Diceros bicornis minor: one gene and its partners. The main gene of each other region encodes a partner of the protein of the gene in region 2 in a complex. Links are inferred from orthologs where the notes say so. Each region holds a gene or a part of one and is shown on either strand. Other genes may lie near its edges. The genes, in order: NRROS, TGFB1, ITGAV and LRRC32.

Region 1 (7,806 bases), on a different chromosome or scaffold from region 2:
TCAGCCTGAAATCACTCAGGCACTGAAGTGAGAAGACATGTGCTTTGCTCTCAGCACCTGACTCCATTTGCTCTGGAAATCAGTTGGCTTTGCCTACTCACATTCATTTCTCCTCTGGTAACAACTCCTCAATTCCTCTTTGAGGAAACCACCCCTTCCTTTCTTTTCTTTCTTTCTTTTATTTTTAAAACTTTTATTTGTGGTAAAATGCACTAACCATTTAAAAAATTTAGCACCCTAACCATTTTTAAGTGTATAGTTCAGTAGTGTTAAGTACATTTACATTGTTGTGCAACCAAACCCCTTCCTTTCCTAAGAAGTCCATGTTCATTTGGGTGGGACCTCAACTCCTGGCTCCAATGTGGGGCCTCTGAACAAGGCTGCGCCCATTAGAACCTCCTATTTCCCTAACCACAGTAACTAGTTTATAATGGGTACATCACAGGCACCAAGCTCTTGACAATCAATCCAAGGATTGTTGTTAGAACTACTAGGAAAGAGCCTTTTTCTTCTTGCTTCAGATGCTGAGCTGGTGGGAATTAAGCCTGGAGCCACAGGCAGCCATCTTTGCCACCAACTTCAGGACCTGCCTGATAATGAAGCCCACACAGAGGAAAGCAAAGCTGAGGAATAGAGACAGATGGATTCCTGGCATCCATTTGAACATCTGGATCCAGCCATGCCTGAAGCTATTTCCTATAGACTTTTTGGTTATTTGAAACAATAAATCTTCTTTTTTGCTGAAGCCAAACTGAGTTGAGTTTTTGTCATTTGCAACTAAGGGACCTTGAACTTAGGTTTACACTTGCTTGTGAGGCTTAATAAGACCCAAGTATCGATGTCCTATTTTCCCTTTCCTCACCTCTCTGAACTTTCAGAGATCATCACCTAACCTAGCCCAGAAACCCCCACACACTGAGCACATGACATCTGTTTGAATATAAAGTTGAGAATAATGGTTTGGGAGGAAGGGGAGAGATGAGTATAATAAAGAAATTCTACCAAAGGCAAAAATATTTGTCACCAATTGCAGACACATCGGTGAGCATCAGTGAGCATACAAGCGTGTCCTGAGAAAGATGAAGTTTTTCAGTCATGGTTGAAAGCCCACCCTCCCCTAACTTATGTGGTGATACTATGGATCTGAGCAAGATGTGAGACACAATAAGTTGTCCATCCAAGAGTCTACTGTGCACTTCATGATGTGGATGCACACTGCAGCCAGGACGCATGTTATAATCACTACCAACATCACACTTCCAAAAAAATCAAGAAGCCCAGAGACGGACAGGTCCATGCACTCCTAACACAGGCCCCAGGACAGAGACACTGGGAGCCTGCACTCTGTTTGGGAGGCTCCTGCTCTCCAATGACGGGTTTAAGGACAATGTGGGATCAGGTTTATGTGGGTTTTCATGAAGTTCCCATGAGGGCACCCATTAGATGAAAGCACTCTCTTTGTGAAACAGGTTTTTGTTTTCGTTTAACCTAAGGGCAAGAGTCAAGGTTTTCTTTTTTCTAGGCCCATCATTCTAGAATCCCCTCTAGGAACTCTCAGACATAGATGTACAAACCTACAGAAGTGTGTGAGGAAAATAAAGAAGTCTCAGGGCTATAAAACCCAGCAAATCACCAACATCCAAGAAACAGTGTGCAGCACAGCCAGTGGGTGAAGGGAGCCAGCTCTGTACACTCTGAATGTTTCCAACGGCCAGACTCCTAGTAAGTTGCACCCATCACGGAAGACACCTCCAGTGGAGTCCTCTCACTCCCCCTGGAAGCGCACCTCCCACGCACCTCCCAGGGCAAGCCCTACCCAGGGCTCCACTCTTAGGCCCTTGCCTCGGCCTCCCGGAGTCACGGCCGCCGCTGGGCACGTGTTCACCTTCTCTCAGGGGCCAGGTGAGCTGGCAGCCCATTCTGAGGGCGGCATGAGCCCAGTCAGTGGCTCCTTGCTTTTGTCAGCTCCTGAGTGCATGGGGATATACGCTGAACCCTCCAGAATCCGGCCCACATGGAAAGGCCGTGAGGGCCACAGAAAAGCACTGAACAACGGGTCAGAAAGGCCTGGGGTCGCCCTCTGGTACTTACTAGCTGTGGGTCCAAGTAACAGAGCCCTAGTGACTGTCCCAAGGACAAATGCTCTGTGGGGAAGGGGCTTTTCCTGTCTTCTTCACAGCTCTACCCCCACCCCCTTGAGCACGCCTGCACATGGAAGACATCCATAACTACGTGTCCCTGTTCATGGGGCTCAGTGTCTTCATCTATGAAATGGTGACTCTCAGTCCACGTTGTGGGCAACAAAAAAGACCCAAGCACTCAGCGTGCTGAGCGTTCACAGAGCAACCTCATTACAGCCAGTGCACCCAGGGAGGGAGCATTCTTGTTCCCATTCTCCCATTCTGCAGATGAAGAAACTGAGGCTCAGAACTTCTCCCCACGGAGCCAGGAATCAAACTCAGGTTCGACTCTGAAGCCCACGTTGTTTCCACTACCTCACGCCACCTGTCTCAGCGCTAAGTGCTCCTAGAGAGAGGTATTGCCACCCACACCCAGAGCCGTAGCCCCGGCACGGCGTGAAAGCAGTGGAGCCTGGATGCAGCACCCACAACTTCCCCATCAGCCCCCCAGCTGTGGGCCACACACGCTGACCTCCTACCGTCCCACCTCTCCGAGCTCGCCCACCTCCACGAGGGCCGCGGCTGCCCCGCGGGGAGGCGGCCACGCAGGAAATACTCACGGCTCCCGCAGGCCCAGGCGGCTCCGCGGGGCGCATCCTCTCCCGGGGCTCCGGCCTCCTCGAGAGCAGGCGAACGCGGGGCTGGGCTGCCTCCTCTCTCTGGAGCATCAGATTATTTTAGCACTTGCGGAAGGAACGGACGGAAACTGAAGTCACATGGAGAGCGAGCTGCTCAGCGACTCAGCACTCACAGAGAGCAGGCATCTTAGAGGGAACTGCGCTGCGGGTGGGTGGTGAGGGGGATGGGAGAGGGCGGGCTGACCGGCTGGAAGCGGTGCCCCCCGCCCCCAGCACCTGCTGGGTTAGTCTCAAAGGAAGTGGGATATGTTTATGGTCTCCCAGCAATGCTCATGAAGGCTCCCCAGCCTTTCTTGTCTTAGAGATTTCGAAGGGTGACGAGCTGCGGGCCCTTGCCTGTGAGCTCTGCTGACCCAGAAACTCTTCTCCAAGGTTGTGTCCAAGGGTCAAGCTGGGGCAGACTTTGGGAAAGAGGAGCACACACGTTTTCCAATTGGGAGAGAATTCACCTTCTGGGAGAGTCATCCACTCAGCTAGTCTTTATTAATAATCTCCCTTTTTATGTCCAGCCCATCAAAAAAAGAAAAAGAAATGGAATTGCTTTCGGGTGGACTGTCAGAGTGCCATGAACTTCTTGATCATAGGCTGCATGGATGAATTTTTTGTACCAGATGTGTACAATATTCCCTGCTAGCTCTTGCCGGGAATTCAAAAGAATAATTAAATTAATGATAGTCACCATCAGAGGGGCGCCAGGCACCATGCTTTGAGCTTTATGTGCATTATCTCATACTCCTGTTCTCAAGGAGCTTACATCTAGCGGAGAAGGCAAAATATTTACTGTGTTGGCGGCATGCCGGATGAGTAATGCAGACAGCCACGTTAGGGGAGTCAGAGAAGGGATCTCCAGTTCTGCTCCTTGCCATCGGATCTGGAGAGGTGAAGTGTCCTGGAGGGTTGGCTCACTCCTCTTGTAGCCTGTTGACTTGTGATTTGGTATAGCATTGTTATCTTGGCGTGTCCATCCTAAGAGAGCAGGAGCAAGTCCATCCTGCTCCAAACATCCAGCACATTGTCTCTGCTCCCTAAAATATTTATTCGTAGTTGTAATAATGATGACATTAATGCAAAAACTGAATAAAAGCCAAATTATCACAAACTAAGGTTCTCTTTCAGGTCTTTTTCTTCTCATGGTATGCACAATTTCTACTCCCATGTCTTTTGTGTCTACCAATATGTTGATAACTCCCAAATTTTAATCTCTATCTCCAACATTCTCTCCCAAGAAAGATCCAGACTTATGTTTTTAACTGTCTACTGGTAAATCAGCTCCTATATGTCTCAGAGTGGCCACAACAATTATGACAATGTGTCATAAACTGAACTCTTATACTTTGTCCTAGCTGGTTTCTCTCCCTGTTTGGCTGTCACTGTTGATGGCATGCCTCCATCTGGCCCTCACAGACCCCACCCATCACATCCAGTTGGTCATTCATTGCTGCTGATTTTAACTCGGAAATGTTTCTTGAATCCAAACCTACTCTTTATCCTTTATCAACTCATGTCTGGACCATTTCAGAAGCCTCCTTAAACTGGGCTCCGTGCTTCCAATGCATATTCCACTCAGTGGCCACGGGCATCTTTCTAAAATGTATATTGGATCATCTCACTCCTTGCTTAAAGCCCTTTCGTGGCTTGCCATCGCTTCTCTTACCTGGATCAGCAGTTTAACACCAGGTCCAGCAGGTTCAGGGGCACCTCAGAGATGCCAAGACCTGAGTATGCTCCAGGCACTCCATCTCCTCCTATCCCAAGCCATTCCACTTTCACATGTTTTATATTTTTTATAGAATTTCTTTTGAGAAAGACAGCTGCAACCCCTCAAAAAAACAGAAAATCAATGGTCTCAATGGATGTGTGGAGACAAGCCAGTTTGTTGGCGAATAGCACCAAGAGCTCTCCCTCTAGGCTATCAGCAAGCTGGCTCAGCAGGGAGAACTTAAGATTTCCAGCTGAAACAAGCGCTGATTTGCAGCTGAAAACAGAATATTTTTCATGCCAGCCCAACTGTAACCTTGACTGCACAGTTCAAGATTCTCCAACATGGTTGGGTGCTCTGGGGCCCCTCCCAACTGTGCTGCTCAAGGCAGAAGAGATTGGGGAACTGCCTCTGGAGCACAACCCATGGTGCATGCAGCCCTGCCCTGGCTGAGCACATCGCTCCATGGGATGGCGAGAATCTGGGGGACCGCATGCCTCTTTCTTTGAGCCTGCTGCATGCATTGTGGAGTTTATACCCATCCCCTGTTCAACCATAACAACGCTAAATTTAGTGTGAAGCAGCTCACCTGGATCTCCAAGGAGATCTGAGGTGGAAGCAAGGAGCTGGGCAATTCCCAGTGGAGGAGAAAGTCCAGAGGCCTCATTCAGCCTGATCTTGCCTCCAGCCTGTCTTCACTGTTACCTCCACACTTCAATATGTGGTCCACGAGTGGGTTTTATCCGGTCTTACCTGCTTACAGTTTTCCTAAACACAGAACCAATGCTCCCCACTCTTGCTCTGTCAGAGGTTGCCTTACTTGGAATAGCCTCTCCTGTGCCTACCCCAACCCTCCTCATCCCGAAGGCGTAGGTTGGGTCCCCTCCTCTGTGAAGCCTCCCCACTGAGTTCTCCACCTCTTCCTCTGAACACGTGGTACAAAGTGTCTACTGTATCCATGGGCCTCATGACATCTTTTGTATTGTGATTTAACTTTTAGGATTTCCATTTTGTTTCCTCAACTACACTCTAAAATTCTTGAGGGAAGGGGTCATGTGTTATTCCAAAAAGTATATTGCCCAATGCACATAAAGGGGCCCAGTAAATATTTGCTCAAAGAAGGAAGGAGGGAAGAGAAGGAAAGAAGAAGGGAAGGCAATAAAAAAGTGGTAGGGAATGAAATCAGTGGGAGCAGAGAGCGGACCAGATCAGGCAGGGCCTTGAGTCCATGGTAAGGACTCAGATTTGTATTTGTTAATTATGAAAAGGACTTCTTAATGACCAAGAAATGACTTTTCCCAAGTCATCTGGGAAGTGACTTAGAGCAGATGACTCTAGAGCAAACAACATTTTAATCTTCATTCATTTTAGAAACCTTTGCTGGGCACCGACGAGGTGCTAGACTAGGTATTGCTGGCTACTTTGTCTATGATTCTCTAGGTATTGCTTTCTGAGGGTTTTTTTCTTTCTTAAACTAAGCTTTATAATCGTTTGTCACAGGTACAACTTCTCAGTCTCCCAAAGAGATCAAAGGAACTTTGGCTTCTGTCTCCCCTCCCACTGCTTTTCCAGATGATAACCAGACACTATTCAGGACTGGGGAGGTGGGGATACCTACAGGAGAGACTATGAAGGGAGACACATCCGAGTTGGGGGCAAAGTATGCAAAGGATCCAGTGGGAGAAGTGAAGGTCAGCTTCCCTCCTCCAGATGGGTCTGTGAGAGAAGAGGACAACCCATTGTACCAGCAATGCAGTGGTGGGGTCTGCTTCTGGAACTGGCTCACCCCAGGTCCAAGATCTTGGTCCTCCCACCCTCACTGTGATGTTTTCCATTCTGCCTTGGGTTCTTAGCCCCTGGCCACAGACAGGGCAGCCCTTTCATCCGGCCCTTCACCTTCATGGCTGGGCCTGGCCCAACAGTGAACGAGCGCCTCCCCCGCTTTTCCCGGCACCAGCACATGACAGGGAGGGGATTTCCTTTGGGGCCTTAACTAGGAATTGTTCTCTTGCCCCACGTCAGCTGGCTGCTGGGGGAGAGTCTTCATTAGTTTCATTTCCCTCATTTGGAATGTAGTTTTTAAGAACCAAAAATCAAAAACGGAAAGAGGAGAGGCCACCACCCACATTGGTACCACTCAACCCCTCATGATGCCAGTCCTGGAATAGCTGAGGGGTCGGTGCAGAGGCTGAGGGCAAGTGAGGGTGGCTTGGCTGAAGGTCTTTCCTGGCATGTTTACTCCTCTTCTCTACCCACCTCGGTGGGGGTGGGTCTCAAATGCTGAGGTCAGCTCCTCTTGCTCCCTGTTGTCCGGGCAGGTGGGGGCTTATGTAGTTCACAACCTCTCCCAGGGTAATGAGCCCACGGCCTCCCTCAGCCACTAATTCCAGTGACTGACCTCTGTGGGGACCCTGCCTCTTCCTTTTCTGGAAACACTGACAGTATCAACATATGATCAAAGATTTAGTGTTCTGCAAAAATAACAAGATGCTCACAGAAGTATCCTGTCAGTACCAGGGCATGGCTGGCTGTGGAACATCGAGGGGAAGTGGCACACACAACAAACTGTGGTCCAGTTCAGGGCAGAATGGAAAGGAATCATGGAAAAAGGGGAACGAAGGACTGGGAGAGTTCATGTCACCTGGAACTGGTGGGAGACTTCCAGGAAAGCTTTCTGGAAGAGGTGGCATCTGACTGGATCCTCACAAGATGGGCCTGGGCGCGAGGTCGAAGACTAAAGAAGAGATAAGGAAGATGATGAATTGGAATGACGCCTGTCAAGGAGGAGAGCCTGTAGGAGAGATGATGGCATCTCTTTGTGTCTCTACAGGACTTTGTTCACGGTCCTGCCCAGTGCTGCCATCATCATTCACGTGGTACAGTTCTGTCTTTCCCCCAGGGCAGTGAGCCCTGGAAGGCAGGGACTGTGGTTTGTTCACATTTGTATGTATCCCCAGCAATACCTAATCTAGCACCTCGTTGGTGTCCAGCAAAAGTTTCTAAAATGAATGAAGATTAAAGTGTCATTTGCTCTAGAGTCACCTGCTCTAAGTCACTTCCCAGATGACTTGGGAGAAGTCATTTGTGGTCACTGAGAGGTCCTTTTTCATAATTGATGAATATAAATCTGAGTCCTTACCATGGGCTCAAGGCCTTGCCTGATCTACTCCCCTCTCTGCTCCCTCTAATTTCATTCCCCACCACTTTTCTCCTCACTTACTCCACTCAAAGCACGAAGTTCCCCTCCAGCTCCTCAGTTAAGCCACGCAGCCTTCTGTCTCAGGAGTTT
Region 2 (7,337 bases):
CTCTCTCCAGGTTTGTTTCCTCCTCTGTAAAATGGGGTCCTACCCACTCTTCTCTCCCATCATCTGTAAAGTGCCCACTCAGTACAAAGCTGGCACCCAGGGGGCTGCTCTGCTTGCTCAGGCCTCCCCAGTGCTTACAGCCTCAAATGCAAGTTATAACGCAGCGTAGGCATCAAGGGCATTTGGATCAGACCCTGCCTCTGCTGCCTGCCAGCTCTGTGACCTTGGGCAAGTCACATTCCCTCTCGGAGCCTCGGTTTCCTGCTACTCTTTGGGAAACAGCAACTTGACATCAAGTTCCCCGCCTTCCAACCCAGGCTCTCCTAACCGAAGCGCTGTGTTGTAACTTTGGGCCAATGAATTCCTCTCTCTGTGCCAGATTCTCACCTATGAAACAAGGACCGAATGCAGGATTATAGTGTGAAATAAGTGAGCTGGGGCAGATAAAAGCGTATAGCACAGAGTCCGCGTACAGCGCTCACTCTAATGTGTGTGTTAAAGAGCGTTTACTACATGCCAGGCACTATTCAAAGCCCTTTACAAGGGTTAAGACATTTAAACCTCATAACAACCCCGGGAGGAAGACACTATTATTATATGCATTTTATAGATGGGAAACTGAGGCACAAAGAGATTAAGTCATTTGCCCCAAGGCCACATGGCTAAGAAGCTGCAGAATGGGGATTCAAACTCAGGCAGTCTGTCCAGAGACTGTGCTCTTAACCCCTGGACTATGCTGCCTCCTTGCTAATGTGATGTTATTATTGCTCTTATTTTATTATTATTATTAATTGCTTCCTCCATTAGCTGGTTAGAAAGCAAAGTTCATTCTAGGTAGCAATGGCTTCTGGGGGGGAGAAAATTAGGAAGAGTGTGTTCTAGCCTAGGAAAAGTTCGGGGTTGGTCATGAACTCCTGCATGAACTGGGTCACCTGCTTTAGGCCTCAGCAGTGGGGGTGCCGAAATGGTGGAGACAGGATCTGATGAGAAAGAATGGAGGAAACCCCTTCTGTGGGCCCCATTCTCCTCCTCCCCCCCACTCTAGCCAGGCCAGCCCCCACCCCTCACAAATAAGCCCTATCTTGGCCCAGGGGTTACTCAGCAACCCCCAAAGGAAGGATAGAGCCCAGCCGGGGAGACAGATAGGCAGGAAAAGAGAAAGGAGGAGCAGAAATGGTCAGAGGGAGAGATGGAGAGACCACAGAGACAGGGAGAGGAGAGGAATTGGGTATGGAGGAGAAAAAGAGAGAGAGAGAGAGGGAAGAGATGGAGAGACACAGACTGGGAGACCCATACAGGGACAGACAGAGTAATGGGGATGCAAAGAGATGAGAGACAGACACACACGGGAAGAGAGACACAGGGTTTGCGGGCGAGATGGAGACAGTCCGGGAGGACAGAAGGCGATCGAAGGTACTATCAGTGTTAGAGAAATCCCTACAACGAAGGTGAAGCGACGACGGAAAAGAAGGTGAGACCGAGATGTGTGTGGGGAGCAGCGTCATTTGGCTGGAGCCGCAAACTAAGCGCACGAATGGGTCAGGGACCCACAAGTCCACCGCCCAAGAGAGAAAATGAAAGCAGGGGGACCGCCCCCCAACCTCCCGCCCACCGGGACGCCTGGGTCCCCGCTAGGGCGCCGAAAGGGCGGGCCCAGCGGTAGCTCCGCCCCGAGCCGGGGTGCAGAGGGCGGGAGGCGCCGCCGCCGCGAAGGCGGGGACCCGACCTGCCTCGTCTCGCCCCAGGCTCCGCGCGCGATCCCCGCCCCCCCGGGGCACGGGAAGGAAAGGGAGGGAGGGAGGGCGAGGTGGCCGGACGCTGGGGTTTCCCCAGCCTCCCAGAGAGGAACTGGGAGTTTGGGGTCCAGGTTCTCAGCCTTTGGCTCTGCGGGGTCCTCCTCCCTCCTTCCGGAAGCGCAGGCTCCTCCCCCCGCGCGTGGCACCCACGTGGGGCTTCTTCACCCCTACCAGCTCAGTTTCCTCACCCCGATCTTGTAGAGTCGTACCCACCCACTTCTCCCCCTACGGCTCGACTCCTCACTGAGCTCACTTCTTTCCATACGGCGGCATAGGGGGGGCTCGCTGCTCCCAGCACGGCACCGTCTCTCTCTCCTCCGCCCCCCTCCCGGGTCCACCTTTCCCACGCTTGTCTCCCCTCTCTGTAAACCCCTTCCCACGACCCAGTATTCTAGGTTCCCCGGGGGCTCGCTTCCTCTGCTGGGCTTCCTCTCACGTCCCCATGCGAAATACTGAGGGCACCTCCCCGCGCATCCCCGGCACCCTCCGGGGTCTCCGCTTCTCTCCCACTAGCTTTCCCCTCCCTACGACCTCGCGTCCCTTTCTTCCCCGAATTTACACCCTCCTCACCGTCTCTCTCTCTCTGGGCCCTCCCCCAATCCCGCGTGCTCCTTGCGCCCTCCACAAGCGGGTCCACTCTCCGCTTTCCTGACACCTCCGGGATTCGCTTCACCCAGCTTTTCTGTCCTTCTTGAACCTCCCCGCCTCACGACCCCTGAGCTCTGGGTCAGCTTTCCGCACTGCCTCTCCTTTCCCAAATGCTGGGATCTTCCCGTCTCCCAAACAGGGCTCCCACTCTGCAGCCCCCCACCCCACGACCCCCGCATTCTAGTGCACCCTGGAGGGAGAAGTCTTTTTCTATTCCTCCCCCGAATTGCTTCTCTCTCTCTAGGGGACTTCCCCCACGATCCCGCATGTTCCTGTCGCCCTCTAGAAGCGGTCCACTTGGCTCACTATCTCCTCTTCTTCAAGACCAGATACCTGGTGGGGTAAGGAGCTCAGCCCTATCCTGTTTGGGATCTCCCTCCCACGTTCCTGGCGCCCCCGGGGGTCCTCTTCCTCCAGCCAGTTTTCTCCGCCAGTATTTTCCTCCCCATGACCCCCGCACTCCGGCGCCCCCTGGGGGCTCCCCTCCAGGGTCCCCTGCCCCTCTGAGCTCACCCTTGCTTGTTTCCACCATTAGCACGCGGGTGACCTCCTTGGCGTAGTAGTCCGCCTCGGGCTCGGGCTCCGTCTCGGCGCTCTCCCCGGCCACCCGGTCGCGGGTACTGTTGTAAAGGGCCAGCACGGCCTCGGGCAGCGGGCCGGGCGGAACCTCCCCCTGGCTCGGGGGGGTGGCGAGCCGAAGCTTGGACAGGATCTGGCCGCGGATTGCCTCGATGCGCTTCCGCTTCACCAGCTCCATGTCGATGGTCTTGCAGGTGGACAGTCCGGCGGCTGGCCGGCCAGGCGTCAGCACTAGTAGCCACAGCAGCGGCAGCAGCAGCGGCAGCAGCCGCAGCCCGGAGGGCGGCATGGGGGAGGCGGCGCCCCCCGGCACTGCCGAGAGCGCGAGCCGGGCTGGGGTGGGAAGAGGGAGGCCCCACCCCTACAGGGGCTGGGGGGGCTCCCGAGGAAAGGTAGGAGGGTCTGGGGGGAAAAGTTGAGGCCCGCAGGGAGAACGGAGCGGCGGTGGAGGGGAGGCTCTGATGGGTGGTTTCTCGGTATCCCACCGAAGAAACCCAGATGGGCGAGATCTGGTACCAGAGGTGGGTGGTCCTGAATAGGGGAGCTGTGGCAGATCTGAGCGAGATCCCGTCTCCCGGATCCCGGAGAAGGGTCCTTGGGCGCGCAGGGGCTCAGGAGAGAGGCTGGGGAGAGGGCGTGCAGGGGGGTGCGCCCGAGGTCTGGGTCAGGTCTTCTTGGGAGTCGGGTTTGCGGCTCCTGAGGGCTGGTCCGGAATGAGGGCGCCTGGGGGACGCCGTGTAGGGGCCAGAGAGGGAGCAAGAGTCCGAGGCGGTGGGGGGGCGGTCTGGGGTCCCCAAGTCCTGCCTCCTCGCAGGGCAGCGCCGCGCCAAGCGGTCCCCGCGCCTCCAGCTCCCAGCGGCAGCGGAAAAGTCTCAAAACTTTTTTTCCTCTTCTCCCAACCAGCTCGTCCCTCCTCCCGCTCCTCCTCCCCCTCCTCCTCGCAGTGGCGGCGGCGGCGGCGGGGGCGGCGGCGGCTGGTCTCAGACTCTGGGGCCTCGGGCTGCTCCTCGGCGGCTCCTTCCTCCGCTCCGGGCCGAGGCCGGCCCCGTGGGCCGCTCCGAGCCGGGGGGTGCCCCGGAGGGGGCGTCCCCCCTGGCCCCGGCCGGGGGCCTCGCTGTCTGGCTGAGCCGCGGCGGGCGGAGACGGTGGGACGACCGGGGCGCGAAGGGCGGCGGCGGCGGCGGCGGGGACCGGCTGGGGCGGCGGGGGGTTTTGAAGCCGCCCCGGCCCCACCCAGGAAGCGCGCGGGGCGGGGGCGGCCCCCAGGGGGAGGGTATGGGGGGGCCGGGCCACCGTCCTCATCTCGCGTGGGCGGGCTCCGAGGGGGGTCCCTTAAGCCCTGGGGGGAGGGGGCGGGCACCCCGGCTCCGCCCCACAAACAGGGTGCTGCCTCCTGGCGGCCGAGCGCTACCAAAGCGCTCCCAACGACCGGGATGCGTGTAGCTTTGAGGACTGTGCGGGTCAGCGAGAAAATGAAGACCTGGCCTTAATCAGAGGATGGGGACACAGCGTACAGGGGATCAGAGAAGGGGGACCCCGGGCAGAGAGAGTGGGAGGCTGAGGCAGAGGGGACAGGGTCAGCCAGAAGACGGGGACCCACTGGGGAGAGGGGGACAGAGGAGGGGGACCCCCAAGGAGAGACAGTCATAAGAGGGTAACCCAGAGTGGGGAGGAGTCAGAGGTTGAGGCAGAGGATGGCGGTAGCGGGTCTGTCAGAAGGTGGGGGCCTGAGGATGGCAGGTGTCGGGGAGGATGGGGCACAGGACATCCGACAGATGAAGGAGGTCAGGAAGGCACCCACACTGGTGGGAACTGCTCTCCTTTATTGAGCACTTCCATGTGCCAAGCAGCCCCTTCTCACCCCTCCCTCTGTGACCCCACGTGCTTACTGCCCCGGTTTTACAGATGGGGAAACTGGACCTGAGAGGGCAGCCACTGGGCTGAGGTGGTAGCCAGGACAGAAGCTGCGCCATGCCTTGGCTGGGGTCAGGTGTGACAGTCTCCAGAGCCCACACTTCTGACCACTGTACCATCCTGCCCCTCACTGGGTCCAGGGGTGTGGATGCGGGTTGGCCGTCGGAGGCAGGGTCCCTCAACATTCAACGCCATAGCGGTCGAAGTGGCGCAGCAGTAGGCCCAGCTCAAGGTGCACGGTGCCACCGGCAGCTGTGTGCAGGCGATAGCGGTCGGCCCCACTGTAGATGGCATCCCCATGCAGCAGCTGAGGCCCGCCACCCACGAAGGCCCGTGCCAGCTGCTCCCGCCAGCTGCCCAGGGGCCGCCACGTGGGGCAGTCCAGCTGGTGGGTGCCTGGACTGCTGGGCACGTGGCAAAAGCCGTAGCCTGCAAGCTGGCAGCGGCCAAAGCTGTCCTGGGACCACACCTGGAGATGGAGCCGGGGCCAGCCTGCAGGACAGGAGGGAGAGAGGAAAGGAGGGATGGGTAAAGCCCAGCCTCCTGTTCCTGGAGACCCCAGGCCCAGTCCTTCCCCCCTGGGTTTCTGCCTCAGCCTCCTCTCTGGACTCTCAGCCAAAGGGATCTTTCTGAATCCATGTTCCTCCCCTGCTCAAAACTCTTTCATGGCTCCCCGGTGCCTTCAGTATGAAGTCCAACCTCAACATTCAAGACCCTTTGGATCAGGCCTCTGCTGACTTCCCTCTTTGTGGCCTCCTCATCCATGTGCCCATCTCAGGGCAGCCCAGTCCCCAGTGAGCACCTTGGGCCTTGTCCTGGACACCTCCTTCCTTTGCTCCCCATGGCCACACCCTGTCCCTGTCTCTGGGCTCAAGGCCCTTTTTCTTCCCCCTCCAATCCATCTTCCACTTTTCTCCCCCTTCCACAGGTTTCCCAGTGTCCTTAGAATACAGTTCAGCTCCTCAGCCTGGTAGGCAAAACCCTTGGAGATCCGGCCCCATTCACCCCCTTTTCTGAACCCCTCAGTGCTGGGCCCTCTTCTAGAAGCTGAGGGACACAGCAGTGAGCAGAGCAGACAAAAATTCCTGCCCTTGTGTAGCTGACATCCTAGATAACAAACGTAGTAAAGAAGCAAATTATAGGGTATGTCAGGTGGTGATAACAGCTCTGGAGAAAAATAAAGCCGGGGGGGGGGGGGGGCGGGATGGTGGGGATGCAGTTTTAGAAAGAAGGTGATCAAGAAAAGGTTCATGGAGAAGGTGACATTTGAGCAAATGCTTAAAGGAGAGAAGGGAGCGGGCCATGTAGACATGTAGGGGAGTGCGCTCCCAGCAGAGGGAACAGCCAGGGCAAAAGCCTTGAGGAGGCAGCTGCCTGATGGGGCCAGGGTGCTGGAGCCCACTGAGAGGGGAGCAGGGGGAGGAGGTGACAGAGCCAGATCACGCAGGGCCTTGTGATTCCTGGTAAGCCTCTGGCTTTTACCCTGAGTGAGACGGGGTACCCGGAGGGCCCGGAGCAGAGGAGGAATGTGACCTGACTTAGGTGTTCACCGGGGGACAGACTCTGGAGGGTGGGGTGGAAAAATCACTGAAGAGCCTACTGTAATAGCCCAGGTGAGACATGAGGGTAGAAAAAGGTGAGGGTGGGAGGGAGAGGGGAGAAGTGGTGGGATGTTTGGCATTTCAAAGGTAGAGCCAACGGGATCTCCTGATGGACAGAATGGGGGGTTGAGAAAAGAAGAGGCAAGGATGATGCCCATACTGGGCGACTTGGGGTCCCTAAAAGCTGAAAGGACTGTTGCCTACCTCACCTCAAAACTCACAAGGCAGCCAGAAGGATCTTTTAAAAGCGAAATCTGACTTGTCAGTCGCCTGCTCTGGCTCTCTAGTGCCTTCAGGAGACGGCCTCAGCTCTGCGGCCTGGCATTCAAGGCCCTGCGTGGCCTGTCCTCTGTCCCCTGCCACCTCACCCTCTGCAGTCCTCCTGCAGGCGCTCAGTAAATACTATTTATATTGTTGAAATATATGGCATATTTACCTAGGCTATTTCCTGGAATGCACTCCTCTCTAATGACCCAAATTTTCCACCAGAAAAGGTTTTCTGATACCCATCCTCCGCCTGCATGCTCATTTCCCCTCTGAGCAGCTGAGGAGCCCTTCCTGCCAACTGCTACCAGCCCTGCCTCTCTCCCTCTCATAAGCCCCTCCCAGCTTCCTCCTGATTGAAGACTCTCTTCATTTGTCTCTTTCAAAGTCACCTCCCTCTCCCCCTGGTCCCCACGCTCCCCTCTCCCCCACCACCCCTGGCCTCTGCCCTGGTCCCATGCACTCTAGAGCCAGCCTGGGGAGGCCTCCCCTCAGCCTCTCCAGGGCCAGGCCTGGCTGGGAAAGGGACCCAAAG
Region 3 (8,299 bases), on a different chromosome or scaffold from region 2:
GGCCTCAGTTTCCTCATCCGTAAAAATGTGTTTCTCTGCTTCACTAGCTCCCCTGGTGGTTTGTGCTGTCGAGTGAAATGAGACATCCTGAGTAAAAGTGCTTTGTAAATTATAAAATAGGTTAATTAATCTAAGATATCATTATTACAATTAAACCTAGGGTGCAATTTTTAATTTGTCCAATTATTCTCCACCAAAAAACATGACTTGACTTCTTGGCCTGTATACAATCTTTAAATTTTATGTAATTTAAATTTTTTGGCAATATAGTCACCATAAATTAACACATACAGGAAAAAATAGATAGAATGCTAATTTTTTATTTTTCGTGATTTTTAAATCACTATTTTTGTGACTTTTCACTTCAAACCTAAAACTCATTTCTGGAGAGATTTTCTTGAGTATTTTATCTTTCCTTCTCTTAATAAACACTGATTCATTAGTTTTCACAACAATATGGGAATAATTCAATAACAATTTTCTATAATAAAAAAAATGAGACATAAAACAATTCCATAGCTTGCCGGAGGTATCTAGACACCTACAGAAACCAGAACAGCCAGAGACCTTGTTAACTTTGCTTCCTCATTAATCCAGGCACTCTTCCTTCAGAAGAAAGGAATCTTTAATTAGCAAACACTTTTACATAATGTGAATTTTTTTCCTTTAGAAGTTTATGATCACACCAAATAACAACAACAATAAACACAACTGGTAATATTGCAAATGGCACCCCCATGTACCTTGCATTTCACTGCTTGTTAAATTTAAAAGTACCTTTTTACAAAATTAAGAATAATTTTGCATTAATCTTTGTTAAATCTGAAAAATTCAGCAAGCAGAAACCCTTGTTTATAAATATTTTGTTTTAAAAAAATCTCAAAGTTGATTTCTATTTTTTAAGTTAGGCTAGACCTAGAGGTCACTAGTCTACCAACAACAAAGTCACTGATGAAGATTTCAAAATATTATATGAAACCAAGCCAAGTTCAATTTTACCTTAGCACTGAAGGCGCCTCATGGGAGGTCATGTAAACCTGTGAGGTCATAGTATATTCAACAACTACAGTGACTACTCAAGAAGGATGAGCCATCCAGCCTTGTAACCAAAAACAGTAAATATCTCATGCCAACAGTTCAATATCACTGCATTTTCCATGGTAAAAACACTTAAAAGTTTATCATCTGGTTCTATATCTTTACACTGCTGAACTCAGAGGGTCGCCACAGAACCAAAAGCAACATTTGCAAAACACTCCATCAACTTTGAAGTATCTAAGTGCTAACTCTCGCTACTTTAAGTACTAACTCTTCACAAAAGACAACATATATTTTCAAAATTATTAGATTTTCTGTACAAATTAAGTCTAAGAGGGCACCCTTGGGAGCAACTAACATCGTCTGTACCATAAAGGTGTACACTTAAAAATATCTGGAAACAAAAATTTCTTAAATAACAGATAAGGCTGACAAATGATTAAATCAAATGAGAAGGTAGTAAATGTTGCTCAAGTTAATGATTATTTTTATTGTTTTGGAAAATCTGTACTCAGGTCTCACAGAAAGCACTGAACCTGGAAACAACAAAAGTGAGTTCACTACACAAAACTGTCTAGTTTCCACTCCCAACTGCTTCCAACCTACTTACTGCTGCACAGGTTGTCGCCAAGACGAATGATATTCAGCAACATTCAGAAAGAAGATAGGAATAAACCCTGCTGAATGTTCTAACAGTCATGGAAAAATATTTAGATCATCCTCAAATTAGGCATGGATGAACTGGAAAAATGGTCCTATCTAAATACCGACCATCAAAATTATCCTGTCTCCCCCCAAAAAGCAAAACCTCAAAATATAGAGAAAATTTAGAAACAAAAATATGTTGTTACAATTTCTAAGAGCTCAGAAAGAACACTAAGAACAGTTCTCCTTCTTGAAAACAAGATTTAAACATCAGAAGACAGCCAGTGAACACATTAAATCAGTATTTCTAACGCTAACTTGGGGGTGGGGTGGTGCGAATGATGTCAGCGTTCAGTAAAGTCAGAGACAATTTTTAATCCAATAATGACAATAACTCTGTTACAAACCCTAACGGTCTTTGCAACTCGAAACGTTGGCAATTTGAAAACATAACTGAATTCTTAAACACTGCAGTATTCAAATGACCTGTAGTGAATGAAAACTCAGCAAACACCCCTGTTCTTTCTGAACAATGACCTAAATAATGAATCACTATAAAAAGAACAGATGACACATTCAATTCATCTGTTCACCCTCAAATGTTCAGAGGTCTGGCAGTCCCAGAGATAAGACACAATGAATCTAGTACGACAGTATGGGCATTTTAGTCATCAGAACGTCTGGAAAAGGAGTAAAAGAGGAGAAACAATCACACAGAGAGGCGGAAAGAGTGGGGGAGGGCTTGTTTAGGGAGAGCGAAAAGGTCGGGTGTCTAAGTCTGTGAAGCAGAAAGACGACCGGGAAGGCTCACTGGTGCGGGAGAAAAAGAAGTTCGGAGATGAAATTGACCAAGTCCCGGACACTGGCAGAGGCGGCGCGGAGTCCCGCCCGACCAGCCTTTGTTGATTTCCCACTTGCCCCCAATTTTAAGCACAGGTCTGTTTCAAAGCTCTCCCTCGGAAGAGAGGAGGCGGGGGAACTGGGTGGTGGGTGCCGCGGGGGTTCATCTCCCCCAAATCTCATCCGCCCAGAATCTAAACCACCCTGTGGGGGGTGAGGGGGACGGACAGACAGACGCCCGGATCTCTCCCAGAGATCTTTCCCAGTGGGGAAACGCAGGGTGGGTGCGCGTGGGGGGAAGGGGGCCGAGTCCCCTCCCAAGTGCGGCCACTTACGAAGACGCGCTGGGCACGAAGAAATCCACCGCGAAGCCGAAGTAACTGCCCTCGGGGCCGGAGTACTCGGCAGGACTGTCCACGTCTAGGTTGAAGGCGCCGCAAAGAGGCAGCAGGAATCCGAGGAGAGGGAGCAGGAGGCGTTGGGGGCGAAAGCGCAGCCGCCGCGGCAGCGAGGCCATCGCCGAAGTGCGCGCGGGGCGCGGAGCCCGGAGCCGCGGCCACCCACCCCGGAGCGCACGGAGCCCTCGGCCCGCCGCCGGAGCGCGCCGAGACTTGCCGGCCGCTCGCTCCCGGCGGGTCCGGGACAGCGCCGGAGGCAGGAGGGCTGAGCCTCGGAGAGGCGCCTGGGGAGTGGGGCGCAGGGCGCGCGGGGCGGGGACAGCAGCGCGGGCGGCCCCTCGCCTCCCTCCCGCTCGGCCGCTCAGCGCAGCGTCTCGGGCTTGGGATTGCCGGGGTGAGCGCCGCACCCCCGACCCGAGAGCTGCCCCGGGCAGGGGGAGGAGGCAGAGCAGGGGGAGGAGCCGGCCCGGGAGGCTGGACCGCCGCGCAGGAGGAAGTGGAGGAGCAGAGGCGTCCTCCGACTGGGAGAGGCGAGCGCACTTCCGTGCGCGCTGTTACCTCCCGTCCCGAGAGCCGGGCGCCTGGGCCGAGGCCCCAGACCGTCAGAGCCCCGGGCGGCGGCCTCGCCCCCAGCCCCCGGAGGATGGGCGGAGGGTGGGAGCATGGTCGAGCGTCCCAACCCGCCCTCGGCCACCCGAGCGCCAAGGACACCCCACGTTCCCCGGTCCTGCTCGGCACTCCCGTGCGACATTTGTTTGAAAATGAGGAAAGCTTTATTCGCTTCTCGCGTTTATGCTGCTTAAAAGCCTGGCAGGGTCTCACGAACGAAACTCTATAATTAATGGTCGTTTTCCTCCCCACTCTATCCCACACGCAAACGCTGAACTTAATTATAAACTTCCAGAATGCTAGCATACCCTCTCCCAGGCGAGTTGTGTTCAAGAAGATCTTCAGGTCTACGAAAGAATTAGCAAGGCAAAGAATCAGCTGTAATCGTTCCCAATCAAGACAGACTAGTCGAAACCTTGTTCTTGATTTACCAGCTGAAGTTGTATGATTTCGGATAACTCGACTTAGGACATTTGGGTAGAGACATAATTTTGGAGTTGGAAGAAGGAATATGCACCATGGAAATAAGGCTCCTTGCTGTTGGAGGCTGCACCACGCCCAGGCCCCTGACGGCACACTGAGAGACTTCCTTGAGGGCAGGAACCTTGACCTTTTTCTTTATATTCCCAAATCCTAGCACCTTGCCAGGCAGATAACAAGCAATCAATGAAATGTTGAGTGAATGAATGGAGATGAAATGATGAGTAAGCTTTGCCCAGAGAAGTGACTTTCCCATATTGCGTATCACAGGCTAAAGAATTTGGTGAACAAGACTGAAAGTATAAATGCATTGTGTGGACCTTAAAAACTTACAAGTACTAGAAGAGTAATTTCAAATTGTTTTCCGGAAGTAGCTGTTAAAACTCAATCACTATGCATATTAACCTAAAGCTCTTAATTAATCCTGTGAAGGGATATGTATATAAATTGAAATGAAACATCTAATTTGAATTTATAGTACTTAATTGCGTTATATATTTTGATTTTTAAATTTGGCTAAAAGATATGCAGCAAAACCTTGGGCGTGTTTTACAAGCCATGGTCCAGCACTTGCCTAAAGGAAATTACTGTGTGAGACAGGCAAGCCTACACAAATACCTACATATAAATACAAACATTCCTTTCTCCTCACAGTCGTCCCTGGTACACCCAAGAGGCCGGTATGTACCCATAAACCCAAAGGGTCTTTTACGCCTTAAAAGCCTGAGAACCACTCCCTTTGGAAATCCATCCAGCTAGGGAGGGCAAAAGAGTGTGGGGGTTTAAACTCTGGCTGGGTCCAGTAAGCCTTTCCATTCCCCAGCTTCTGACCCAGGACAGAGGATCAACAGACCAGAGCAGGGGAGGAAAGAAAGAAGAGAAGTCCAAGGAAAGGAAGAAGCCAAAGCAATGGCAACACCCGTGTGTCCACCAAAACCTGAGTGAACTCAGGACCACATTTCTGTTAGGAGACAGTGAACCAGACTAACCCAGTGCCTTAAGGCACCCTGGGTTACACATGACTACCCTTTGTAATAGTGTAGTCATGCTTGAGCAGTCATGTGCCTAGAGCCTTGCAAACTGAGGGAGTTTATTACAGTACAAATCAATTCAGCCAGTGCTTATCCAGAATCCACAATGTGCTGGGTACTCTGTGCACGGGAAAGGGAAAAGCATATTTCATTCTACGGAAGAAAAGCTATGCCCCTCTCCCAGTCCTATGGCTCAACTGTTTAAACTATATTCGAACAATTTTCCAACTTAAAAGAGCTGCATAATATACCTACATTAAGTATAATCACTGTCCTACAGAGAAAATAAAATATTAGATAGTAGAAAGAATTCTGACATTGAATTTTACCCTCTACCCCTCTGTCCTTTAGCAAAAATCTTGATTCCATTGGTTTCTGTAAATTCAAATGCTGGAGTTCAATTCCTCGCTTCGCCAAGTGCTAGTTAGTTGTGTGACTCTGGGCAAATCACTCCAACCATTCTGTGCCTCAGTTTTCTTATCTATAAAATGGAAATGATGATAACACTTACCCTGTAGAATTGAACAGTGCTTGTTGCTGTTAATACTTCTACTATCCATTTAGTACAGCAGTCACAGGAAATTTGTAGGACTATTATTATACTCTCTTAGTTCTCCCGGTACCTATCCAACGGTGCCTTCCATAACCATCATCAAAACAGAGGTCCGCTTGGCTTTGTCTTTGCACAAAAAGAATCTCAGTCCAGTTACCCCAGAATAATTTAAGGGGAATTTCAGATTTTTTTCTCTCAAAGAACATCAAGGGGGATTCAGTTCATAATCCACGGAAACCCTTCTGAAATCCCCTTCTTCTACTCTCCATTTCGTCAGAGCCTTTAATCCCCTAAATCCAACCCTACGGTGTTTCTTGCTGTTGCTTTTTTGTCTGACTCCCTCCTGCCTCTCCTCTCTCAGCTACTTATTAAGGAGATGGCCTCTCGGACTTCGTCCCCACTCCCACCCCCAGTGCTGCCTTTTCCTATCTGGTCTGTATTACAAAAGATCTCAGCCAGCGCTGGTTGCTCATTGGGTGGGTAGAAGAGAAGAGAAGGGAGGCGGGAGACTTGCCTCCTTTCTGGGCTTTGCTTCCTAAGCTACCCCTTCAGTGTTAGGCTTGTCCAGGTCTCCGGCCTTGATTCACTGCATTCCTTGCTCTACATGTCCCCAGCGTGGTCTTATTCATCGTCATGCTCTCACCACTCCCCACCTCACAGAGTAGCTGTAGGCATATTAAATTAATTACTTACTCTTTCCCCAGAACGCCATCTTTGGTCACAGGGCTCTATCTTCCTAGAAAACATTAGCGCTGCCCCTTAACCACTTCCCCCAGCCTTCATCCTTCTGCCACATGCAAACCTACACAATGTCCTCTATCTGGCTGTTTCCTACTCTTCTTTCAAGATGTGTGTCAGGCATCATCATGTCCTTCAGGAAGCCTTCTATCAGGAACCATGCCTTATTGTCTTTGTATCGTCTGAGCTCAACACTGAGCTTCATGATGGAATTAGTTTTACTGTCCAGAGACTTAATAATAACTAACATTTTTATTAAGCTTACTTATTATGTGCTGGGCACTGTCCTAAGCATTTTGGTATATATTAAGTCATTTATTAGTCATAAAACCCTATCAGGTAGGCTCTATTAGTAGCCCCATTTTAAAGATAAAGAAACTGATTCTCTACAAGATTGAATAATTTTCCTAAGGTCACAAAGGTAGCATGGCAGAGGCAGATTTTGAACTTGTGATGGTCCAACTCCAAGCTCACGATCATTAGTACGAGGTTGCCTTTTACAGTACAAAAATACAAGAATAAACAAAGATAAAAGGGATGTAATATATTCAAAGTGATTGGAAAATTTACTTAACAGATTATCTTTACCCTTAATTAATCTGAATTTTTTACAGCATGTTTGCCAATAAAATATTTTAATCAAACTTTATTATTGATCGTATTTATCAAATTAGTTCCACTAGTTTGGCAAGGCTTGTCAAAGAAGAAGTTATGAAAGGGTAATTAAACAAAGCTTTCAGTAAAGACTAAAAATGGTCCTTATCTATTAAAGTTTTACTATGAAGAAAATAGTTGTAAGTGAATATTTTGTGGGGTTAATATGAAAGAGCAGAGACAATTTTGTATGTCTAGTCCCTCTGCTAATCTCTTCTCATCTCCTGACCTCCATATCCTTGTGGGTAAGAAAGGGAGCTGGTGATGATCTCCAAGGTCTTCTCCATCGCTGAGAGCCTGGGGCCTCGGTGACCTTCGCAGAGTAACTAGGGTGGTTGTTGACAGCCCCCCCCCCCAAAACAAAGTCATCTGGTCCCATTCAAATATCCTTCCCTCACATTAGGCAGAATAACATAAACTGGCTCACATCCATGAATATTGGGAATGAGAAAGGGAAATGTTTCAGGGCTGGCGTGGTGGTGTGGTGGTTAAGTTTGCATGCTCTGCTTCAGAGGCCTGGGTTCAGAGGTTCGGTTCCCAGGTGCAGACTTACACCACTCGTCAGCAGCCATGCTGTGGTGGCAACCCACACACAAAATAGAGGAAGACTGGCACAGATGTTAGCTCAGGGCCGATTTTCCTCACCAAACAAAAAAAGAAAAAGGGAATTGTTTCTCATCCTCAGCAATATATTTTCATAACAGTAGGAAGTCAATCATTTGTTGCCTTTAGATCAGACACTCCTTCCATATACTGGGAAAACTTAGTTACAAATTTAAGAAGTTTCAGATAAACGTTGGGGAAAATGTGGAAATATCTTAGTTCCTTTGTTTAAAGAACAAAATATAGATAACTAATCTTTTGAAGTTTCAAAAACAAAAATGCAACTCTTTTCTCCTGTCTTGTTTTTGTTTTTGTTTTTAAATGGGTTTAACTTAAATGGACTATTGCTTAATAGAAATATTTGCTATGCAGGAAGCTTCTTTTGATTTTTCCCCTCAGGACTGAGTATGTTGACAAGCCAAATAAAATAAGTACTGTCTTTTATCTCTAGCTTGATTAATAGATAACGTTTCACTATCTGAACATCTCCTTTTTCTCCAACATGCTTTCAGTTTACTCATTTCGCTTAAAAAATCTTGTTTTAAATTTTTCATCTTTTTTTTTTTTTTACTGAGGAAGATTCACCCAGAACTAACATCCATGCCAGTCTTCCTCTATGTTTTAGTATGTGGGCTGCCAGCACAGCATGGCTGCTAAGAGAACAATGTAGGTCCGCACTTGGGAACCAAACCCAGGCCGCCAAAGCGGAG
Region 4 (7,758 bases), on a different chromosome or scaffold from region 2:
CCCCTCCAGACACTGTCTCCCGTCCCTGGGTGCTCCACCTGCCCCCGGGTCCCTTCAGTCAGCCACAGAGTCACCCACTTTCACGTGAGGAAGAAGGTATCAACAGTCACATGGACTCAGCCCCTACCCCACTCAGCCTTCCACAGAACCATGATCTCAACGCCCCCTTGAAGCTGGCAGAATGACTGTCCCCATTTTACAGATGAGAAACTACCAGGGGAGGATGACTTGCCCAAGGTCACCCAGCCTCCGGTGGCAGGGCCATCCCACGGCAGCCTTGCCTCAAATTAGCGCCGCCGTCAGGAGCTCACACGTGTCTGCTGCTGTCTCAGCCGGGCTGGCTCTGCTGCCGTTGTCATTAGCTGGGAGGTTACACTCTGTGACATCACGGGCCGTAACCAAACCCCATGGTGACAACCCTGGATCCTCAAGAAAAGGGGTTTAACCTTCAAATGGTTAAAACAGAGAAAAGTGGTGTGGCTCAAAGGGACAAACCCTCAGGTTCCCAGCAGCCCGAGCGCGGCAGAGAGCTGTGGTTTCACGGTCCGTGGCAGTCAAGCTGTGGAGACGCTTCTGAGCCTGCCCTGCGTGCTTCACCCAGTCTTGAGTTTTCTCACCTAACGTCCCCCCTCTCCCCGGGGGCCTCCGGGAGCCTCCAGACTCCTCAGCCCCAGACTCAGAGCCCGGAGCCTCCCGTGTGGGGGCCGAGGGATGCTCGGGGCCTCATGGGCACCGCTTTCCCTGCATTGGCTGCTCCAGGTGCCACAGTGAGGGGGTGACTCATGCCCCGCTGAGAACAGAAAACCAGCCAAGCCAGTCGCTGGCCATGCACAAGGGCCTTGTCGTCTGAGGACTCGGATGGGAATGGCTGCTTTGCCCTGCCCTGTTCGCTGTGTGACCATGGGCAAGTCACAGAATCCCTCTGAGCCTCAGTCCCTTTTCTGTAAAAGGGGTGCAACAATAGCCTCCCTCGTCAGATGAGGAGGAGGAGATAATTCAGGTAAAGTACCTGGCCCAGGCCTGGTCCTGTCAGCCCTCATCATTCCACTTAACACTTCAGCTAGTGCTCAGAGCAAGGGACGCACCACCTGTCCCTTTATAAGCGTTGGTTTCCCAAGCACCCATTGTTGCCTTTTGGCTCACAAACTCCCTACAGCTGACACCCAGCAACATTTGCTCTCCTTTCCTACTGGCCTCCAGGAGGTGACCCACAGCTGGTATGGTCTGAGCCCAGTCCCTGCAGGGAGCAAGGGAAGGAGGGCAGGAGAAGAACTGGGGAAGCCAGGGTTCTGCCCCAGAAGACAGGGCCCCAATACAGGCTGATAAGGAAACTCCCTGACTCCCAGGGGCCCACAGAGGTGCTGGGGAGGGGCAGGGAGTGAGGACAGTCATATCCTTGCACCAAGATCTGGCCTGGGGGTCCGGATACCTGGGTTCAATTCCTGGCTCCAAGGCTGTGTGACTTGGGCCAGTTACTTAACCTCTCTGAGCCTCAGTTTCCTAGTCAGTAATTGAGCATAAAGACACCTGGAAGGCTGTCTGTGGCTGTCCTGACCCTGATTTGCCACATGAGAGGAAGGATTGGCCCATGGTGGGTGTTCAGCAAAGAACGATGGAAACTAAATTGGGGGTCCGGGGTGCCATGAGGACAGCAAGGCTCAGAGAAGTTTAGTGACTTGTCCAAGGTCACACAAGATGTGCACATCATTGCCTCCCTGGGCCACTCACTCCTACTTGGGATCCTTGAGTTTGGGCCTGAGGCAAAACCCTGCCAGGGAGCCTTGAGCCTGACTTGGTACCTGAGGGTCTTTTCTCATCTCAGAAGGGTAGTCCAGGGGACACGGGAAAAGACGTGTCTCCCATCTTCCCCGACAGATACATAAGGAAAGAGAAGCATTTCCACAAAAGTACCAACACCGTGAAGACTGAGCTGCCCATTGGTGGGCTGTCCAGGAGGAGTCCCCATTCCCAAAGATGTGCAAGCAGAGCCAAGCAACACTGGACAGAAAGTTGGGCTTGGTAGCCTTTAAAAGAAAGCCGCCCTCCACATGGCTGCCAGGCAACCCAGCCCTGCTCAGGTCCAGCCTCTCCCCCGACTTCAGACCAAGCTCAGACCCCCGGACTCGGCCTTCGAGGCCTCTGGACCCAATCATCCCGTGTTCTCTTCTGCCTCTCATCTGGTCTGGGAGCTCCACAAGGGTAGGTCCTGGACACTTTTATTTACCAGCCATCTGGGGCCGCCAGGGAAGGGAGGTCACGTTTACTGAGCAAGGACCATGGGCCAGGCCCTGATCAGGTACTTTACATACATTGTTGCCTTTGATCTGCACGGCAAGCAGGGACAGCAGGTGCTCTTCCTAGTCTCACTTTGCAGATCAGCAAACTGAGGTCAGAAAGATCAAGCAACCTGCCACAAGCAAGACAGCAATGTGACCGCTGAAGAAGGGAAGAGACGAAGGAGGGGCACTGAGCACGTGGGGTTCCCGGCTTTCAGCCCCCAGTCCCGAGGGGCATCTGCAGCGGGTGGGCATGCTTGGTTGCCCATCTGTCTCCAACTCTTGGGGAGCCCCATCCGGGCACTGAGTGAGGTGGAACCCCGTGAACTAACTAACCACAACCGCAGCCTTTTGTGGGGGAGTGGGAGGCAGGCCACTCCCGCCCAGCCCCCCATAGCCTCAGCCCTGCCCAGCTCAGGCCCCAGCCCAAGCTCGCACCAGCCCAGCGGTTTCTGCTTGGCGGCCGCTCAGGGAAGGGTGGGGCATGCCCAGCCAGCCTGGGCCTGGATGTCGGGGAGCAGGTGGGACAGGAGAGCCCGGGACCTGCCTGAATCCCACTCAGCCGTGCTCTGCCCACCTGCAGGGCTGCCGCGAAGCACTTCCTGGACATTTGGCCCCTTGGACAAGGATCTGGAAAAGGAAGCCCACAGGGTACACAGCAAAAATAGCAGCAGCGGCTGCAACAAACAGTGAGGAATTACCTAACATCCACTGGGCGCAGGCTCCAGGCTGGGTCCGTTACACTCAGCTCTGGCATCAACTCCGAGAAGTAGTGACTATCTTCCCCACTTTACAGACAGGGAAACTGAGGTTCCTTTTGACCAGATGGAGCACTAGAGCCCAGAGACGGGGTTGGGATAACCGGCTGGGACCTCTTTGTGCACAGATCTGAGGCCTCCGGTGGCCGGGGGGGAGGGGTAGCTACGGACACCAGGTCCTCCAGCCTTTCCCACCCCTGCCCTCCGTGCAGCCCAGGCCCCTCCTGAGCGAAGCTTTCTCTGATCTGCTCTTCTGAGACTAGCTTAGGCCCTGAGCAACCCCATCACAGCTTGTCCTCTCTGGGCTGTCCCCATCTGCCCAGGCCCATCCCCACAGTGAGCCAGATGGGAGGGAGGGAAGAAAGCAGCCATCTAGGATCAGGGAACCCAGCTACTAAGCACAGCTTTACCCTGATTGACCACAAAGCTTTGGGTGGTCCCTTTCTCTCTGCAAAATGGGGCACCTGTGCCACTCTCAGGGCTGCGGACCATCAGGGAAGAGAAATTGTGGTAGAGGAATCCTCTTCCACCCTTGGAACCAGGGCCCAGAGGACAGCGTGACCCTCCTCCCCCAGCACCCCCATCCTCAGGTCCACACCCAGCGGGGCAGGGTCCCTGTGACGTGGTAGGGTCAAGGCATTGGAAAGAGGGGGTGGCTTTGGGGAAGACTGCCTCAACTTCTGATGTAAAAGACAATAATAGCACCACGCTACTTTTGCACAGCACTTGAAAACCATCCGAACAACATGGTGCCTGGAAAAGGGCTCTGTGGACAGATTGAGCTCAAATCCCTGCCTCTTACAGGCAGTGTGACTTTGCATATGTCACACTTTCCCAGACTCAGTTTCCCCAAATATAAATGAGGACCTTACCAGTCCCAGACAATTGGTTTTTATTTACATTTGCTGTGCTCATCCCTAGCCTGTTTCTGCATCTGAGAACTGAGGACTTGGGTGGTGCCGTTTCACAGGGCTGCTTAAGGGTCCGGGAGATGATGGAGGAGGACGGGTCTGGACACTAGAGCACAATCCACAGAGGGGAAGTGACCTGCCTGGATTCGCCAGAAGGGATGGCTGCAGGGTGGGGAACCCCCTCTGTGGCCGCCCCAGGGCCAGTGAAGGGTCATTTCCTTCCGCGTTCAGCCCCGCCGTCACCTCTCCTGTTTGCCCCCCCTAAGTGCAGCGGCGCCGGCAGCGGGGAAATCGTGGCCAGGCCGGATTTCCTCTGCGGACCTGCGCCTCCTAGAGCCACCCGCCCCTCCGGACCCCGTGGGGCCATGACCCGCACGTGCGGCGCCCAGCCGGCCTCGCTCGCACGGCGCTTCCTTAGCGACCCCGCTGCCTCCCCGCCCTTTCATTCCGCCCCCTTCGGCCCGCCCCTTCTCAGCCGGGGTTCCAGCGAAAAGAAGATGCTTCACCCGCTCGCGCGTTCCGCATCAACCGAGTCACACGGGGGCGCGCCGGCCGGCGCTAGGACCCCGCGGCCGGGCCGAGGGGGGCGTGGTGGGGCGGGTCGGCGGGAGAGGTATTTAAATTGGAGCCCGCGCCGCCCCCTCCCGGGTCGGCTCCCGTGGGGCAGCGGAGCGGCCGGCGCCTCCTCGGGCCGGGACCCCGGGGCTGGCGCGGCGGCACCGCGGGGTGGGCAGGTTTGCGCAAAATGTGCCCGGGAGAGGAGCGGCGGCCGCGCTGAGCCAGGTAGGAGCCGCCCCGGGGCGAGGCTGCCCGGCCCCTCGGGGCACCGGCTGTCCCTCCCCCGCGAGCACAGGGCGCGGAGCTGGGCTGCGGCGAGTCCCTCGGGACGCCGGTCCCCCCGCCCCCCAGCAGCCCCCTCCCGCCGCCGCCCCCACTGCGCTCAGGGGTGACCCTCCCTCAGCCCCAGAGGTCTCCCAGGCTCGCGTCTCAGCGGATCTTTCCCGGGAAGGGCGAGGCCGGTGGTCCCATTTGACAGATGGGAATACCAGGGCCGAAAGGCCGGCGCTTGCGGAACGCACGGCTAGTTCGGGGCAGACCAGGATTTGAATCCAGGTCTCGTACCGCCCTCGGACCCGGGCCGCGCGTGGGGCTTCCCAACCCACCGCACCAGAGAGCCTGCCCATCTGCCGGGGGCACCCACCTCTCTCTGAGGGGCTCCAAGCCAGCCTTCTTGGGTGATGAGATGTGAGGGATGTGAGGGTGATGAGATGTGAGCCCACCCCCACCCTGGGCTGCCTGAAATTCCGCCATCACAGCCACATTCCTTTGGGTTAAGGTCTAATTCCCCCGTGGGATGCACATGTCTCCAGAATGGGGCTTGCTCTCTGTGATTCACTGCTGGTGGGAACGTCCACAGCAGCTCTCCCAGGACCCCACTCTGCCAGTGATCCGGGCTGAGAAGAGGGAGAGGAGCACCCCGGAGCCCAGCGCTGTGAGCCTGTCTGCTTGGGTGTGAGTGTGTGTTCGGGGGTGTGGAGGGGATTGGAGGGGGTTACAGAGGGAGAGCTTGGCCTGGGGTAATGGAAACATATGCGTTGGAGGCACACAGACTGGATTCTGATCCCAACTCTGCTATTTACTGCCTGTGTGACTTTGGGTAAGTCACCTCTCTGAGCCTCATTCGACTCATGCACGAAACAAGGAAAATTCTGTAGGGGACGGGCAGCTCAGCACCTGCTGGGGAAACACAGCATTTGGCTTATACAGACCTGGCCCAAATCCCCAAGCACTTAGAAGCTGGGTAACTGTTGGGTCAGTTGCTTCACCTTTCTGAGCCTCAGTTTTCTCATCTGTAAAATGGAAATTATAGTAACTGCTTTATTGGGTTGTTGTGAGAATTAAGTGAGATGATTATAGGTCAAATGAATAGAAGAGTGTCTGACATCCTTATATAGTAGGGATGGGCTTATTATGATAGTAGGCCTTGCCCCCACCCCCATTTCTCTCTCTCTCTCTCTCTCTCTCTCACACACGCGCGCACACACACACACACACACACACACTCTCACACACATGCCCATTCTTTGGCATTTCTCCTCCCAATCAGTCCTGCGATGTCTCCTGCCTCCTCTGGCCTCGGCCACTTATCTGCAGGCCTGGGGCCTCCCTCCTCAGCGTGTCTGGCCTGGGCTGCTCAGCCTTGTGGGTCATTGTCCCAGCTGGGAAAGACAACACGTGTCCGGGCATCCTCAGCTTGATCATCACAATGGTTGGGGGCAGCCAGTGGCAGAATGGAACCAGGCTACTTGCCCTACAGAGGGAACCTGGAGGCACTGAAGGATTAACGGACTCGCCCCAGGGAGCAGGGCTGGTGAGCGTTAGAGTCTGCGTGTGATCCTGGGTCTCAGTGACCTCAGGCCTCCCTGGAGAGCGGGCAGCCCTCAAATGCTACCCACTCTCGGGGCACTGCTGCAGGGTGCCCACAGCTGAGGGGGCCCTGTCTGTCAGATGCCAGGGCAGGGTTCCACGGGCTGCAGGGACAGTCCCTGCTGGATGTGCAGATGCCCACCTTGGGGGTAGAGTGGGATGTAGCAAGCAGAGGAGCGGGGCCCGAGGGCCCCTTTGGGCCGCAGTGCCTTCAGGTTCAGAAGGTGTCCCGGTCCTTCCATGTCCTCACCTCGCACGTGGCACACAGCCCCCTGCAGTGCAGCTTCCGCCCCTAGCTTTGCCGTTTGTTCAGTGAGCACCACTTAATAGACCCCTCTTATCACAGAATGAGAAATAAATTATCAAGAAATGATCGATGCAAGGAAAACAATCAGACATGTGAGGATGTGGGGAAGAGCATTTAGGCGGAGGTCCTGAGGCAGGAGCGCACGTGTTGGACGAATGTGGGGAAAGCTGCAATCGGGCGAGGGAGGGGCGGTAGATGAAGTCAGCGGAGATTGGGTAAGGCCTGGGTTTTATTGGAGGTTTCCAAGCAGGCAGATTCATGGTCTGATGTGTGATTTAGAGACTTCACTCTGGCTGCTGTGAGGGACAGACTGGAGGGTCAGGGGTGAAGCAGAGTGTTGCCGAGGTCGAGGCCCAGGGCGGGGCCTCAGTCTGTGGCCGTGATGCAGGCGGGAGGCAGGCTGATCCTGGGGCTGTTTTTCGGGGACAGCAGACAGAACCCCTGTTGAGGGAAGGAGTATGGCAGGGAGCTGAAGGGAGGGTCAGGGAGAACAGCTGCTCTCACCAGTGTCACTGTGTCACCAACTCCTCGCGTCAATTCTCAGCACCTCCCCGGCCTGCCTGGTGGTGGAGATGGGTCCCAGAGGAGAGTGAACCCCTTCTGCCCTAGAGGTGTGGGGCCAAACCACAGAGTGCTCGGTGCTGTGCTCGCTGGAACCCCGGGGGCTGTGGGAACCTGGAGGAGGGACCATACACAGCCCAGATTTGGGGAACCAGAGAGGCCTTCTTGGAGGTGACATCTAAGCTGAGACCCAAAGGCTGAGGAAGTATTCCACACAAGAGAGGGGAGGAAGTGAAGGTGTGGGCCAGTGAAACAGTGCTCAGAGCACTGAAGGAAATAGGAGGCTTCCAGAACCCCGAGTGGGGAGGGGACAGTGAGAAATGAAGCTGGAGAGAAGAGCTGGTGGGCAGGGCTCGCTCCCTGAGGGCCTTGGAGGCCCCCCGAAGGGTTTCCACTCAATTCTGAGTATGCTTGCTTTCACATGGGCGTGATGTTCTTCTTTTTAAACAGTAGAACAAAATTTCCTGTGAAAGCCCGACCTGTGACGCAGGTGATAGGAGAGCGGCTGTGGGGTGTAG

What was found.
Region 1: the proteins of TGFB1 (region 2) and NRROS are in contact, whole or in part, in a cryo-EM structure (PDB 7Y1R), measured with the Homo sapiens proteins. The link is inferred for Diceros bicornis minor from reciprocal best matches to the Homo sapiens genes TGFB1 and NRROS. Residues at the interface, in NP_000651.3 of Homo sapiens: Leu30, Ser31, Thr32, Cys33, Thr35; in NP_940967.1 of Homo sapiens: Phe194, Glu195, Ile196, Glu197, Gly198, Gly199, Phe201, Leu210, Leu212, Pro218, Cys219, Ile220, Val221, Asp222, Phe223, Gly224, Leu225.
Region 3: the proteins of TGFB1 (region 2) and ITGAV are in contact, whole or in part, in a crystal structure (PDB 5FFO), measured with the Homo sapiens proteins. The link is inferred for Diceros bicornis minor from reciprocal best matches to the Homo sapiens genes TGFB1 and ITGAV. Residues at the interface, in NP_000651.3 of Homo sapiens: Gly242, Arg243, Arg244, Gly245; in NP_002201.2 of Homo sapiens: Asp178, Asp180, Phe207, Tyr208, Gln210, Ala245, Asp248.
Region 4: the proteins of TGFB1 (region 2) and LRRC32 are in contact, whole or in part, in a cryo-EM structure (PDB 8VSC), measured with the Homo sapiens proteins. The link is inferred for Diceros bicornis minor from reciprocal best matches to the Homo sapiens genes TGFB1 and LRRC32. Residues at the interface, in NP_000651.3 of Homo sapiens: Leu30, Ser31, Thr32, Cys33, Lys34, Pro325, Pro327, Tyr328, Ile329, Trp330, Ser331, Leu332, Thr334, Gln335, Tyr336, Val339, Leu342, His346, Ala353, Pro354; in NP_001122394.1 of Homo sapiens: Ser135, Tyr137, Glu158, Ser160, Thr162, Val184, Met186, Asp187, Ile188, Glu189, Asp190, Phe193, Leu202, Leu204, Arg206, Asn207, Ser208, Leu209, Thr210, Cys211, Ile212, Ser213, Asp214, Phe215, Ser216, Leu217, Leu223, Leu225, Cys227, Ser229.

What each region holds. Positions count from the first base shown.
Region 1 is NC_080754.1:27,579,437-27,587,242, reverse strand, and holds the start of NRROS (transforming growth factor beta activator LRRC33), read right to left. Parts: upstream 3,333-7,806; 5' UTR 2,741-3,332; intron 1-2,740. UniProt on the Homo sapiens protein: Key regulator of transforming growth factor beta-1 (TGFB1) specifically required for microglia function in the nervous system.
Region 2 is NC_080773.1:15,350,823-15,358,159, forward strand, and holds the start of TGFB1 (transforming growth factor beta-1 proprotein), read right to left. Parts: upstream 3,326-7,337; 5' UTR 3,313-3,325; coding exon 2,958-3,312; intron 1-2,957. Other genes in the region: B9D2 (B9 domain-containing protein 2), read right to left, coding at 5,116-5,429. UniProt on the Homo sapiens protein: Transforming growth factor beta-1 proprotein: Precursor of the Latency-associated peptide (LAP) and Transforming growth factor beta-1 (TGF-beta-1) chains, which constitute the regulatory and active subunit of TGF-beta-1, respectively.
Region 3 is NC_080749.1:65,928,264-65,936,562, reverse strand, and holds the start of ITGAV (integrin alpha-V), read right to left. Parts: upstream 3,344-8,299; 5' UTR 3,041-3,343; coding exon 2,859-3,040; intron 1-2,858.
Region 4 is NC_080746.1:54,671,252-54,679,009, forward strand, and holds the start of LRRC32 (transforming growth factor beta activator LRRC32), read left to right. Parts: upstream 1-4,640; 5' UTR 4,641-4,728; intron 4,729-7,758.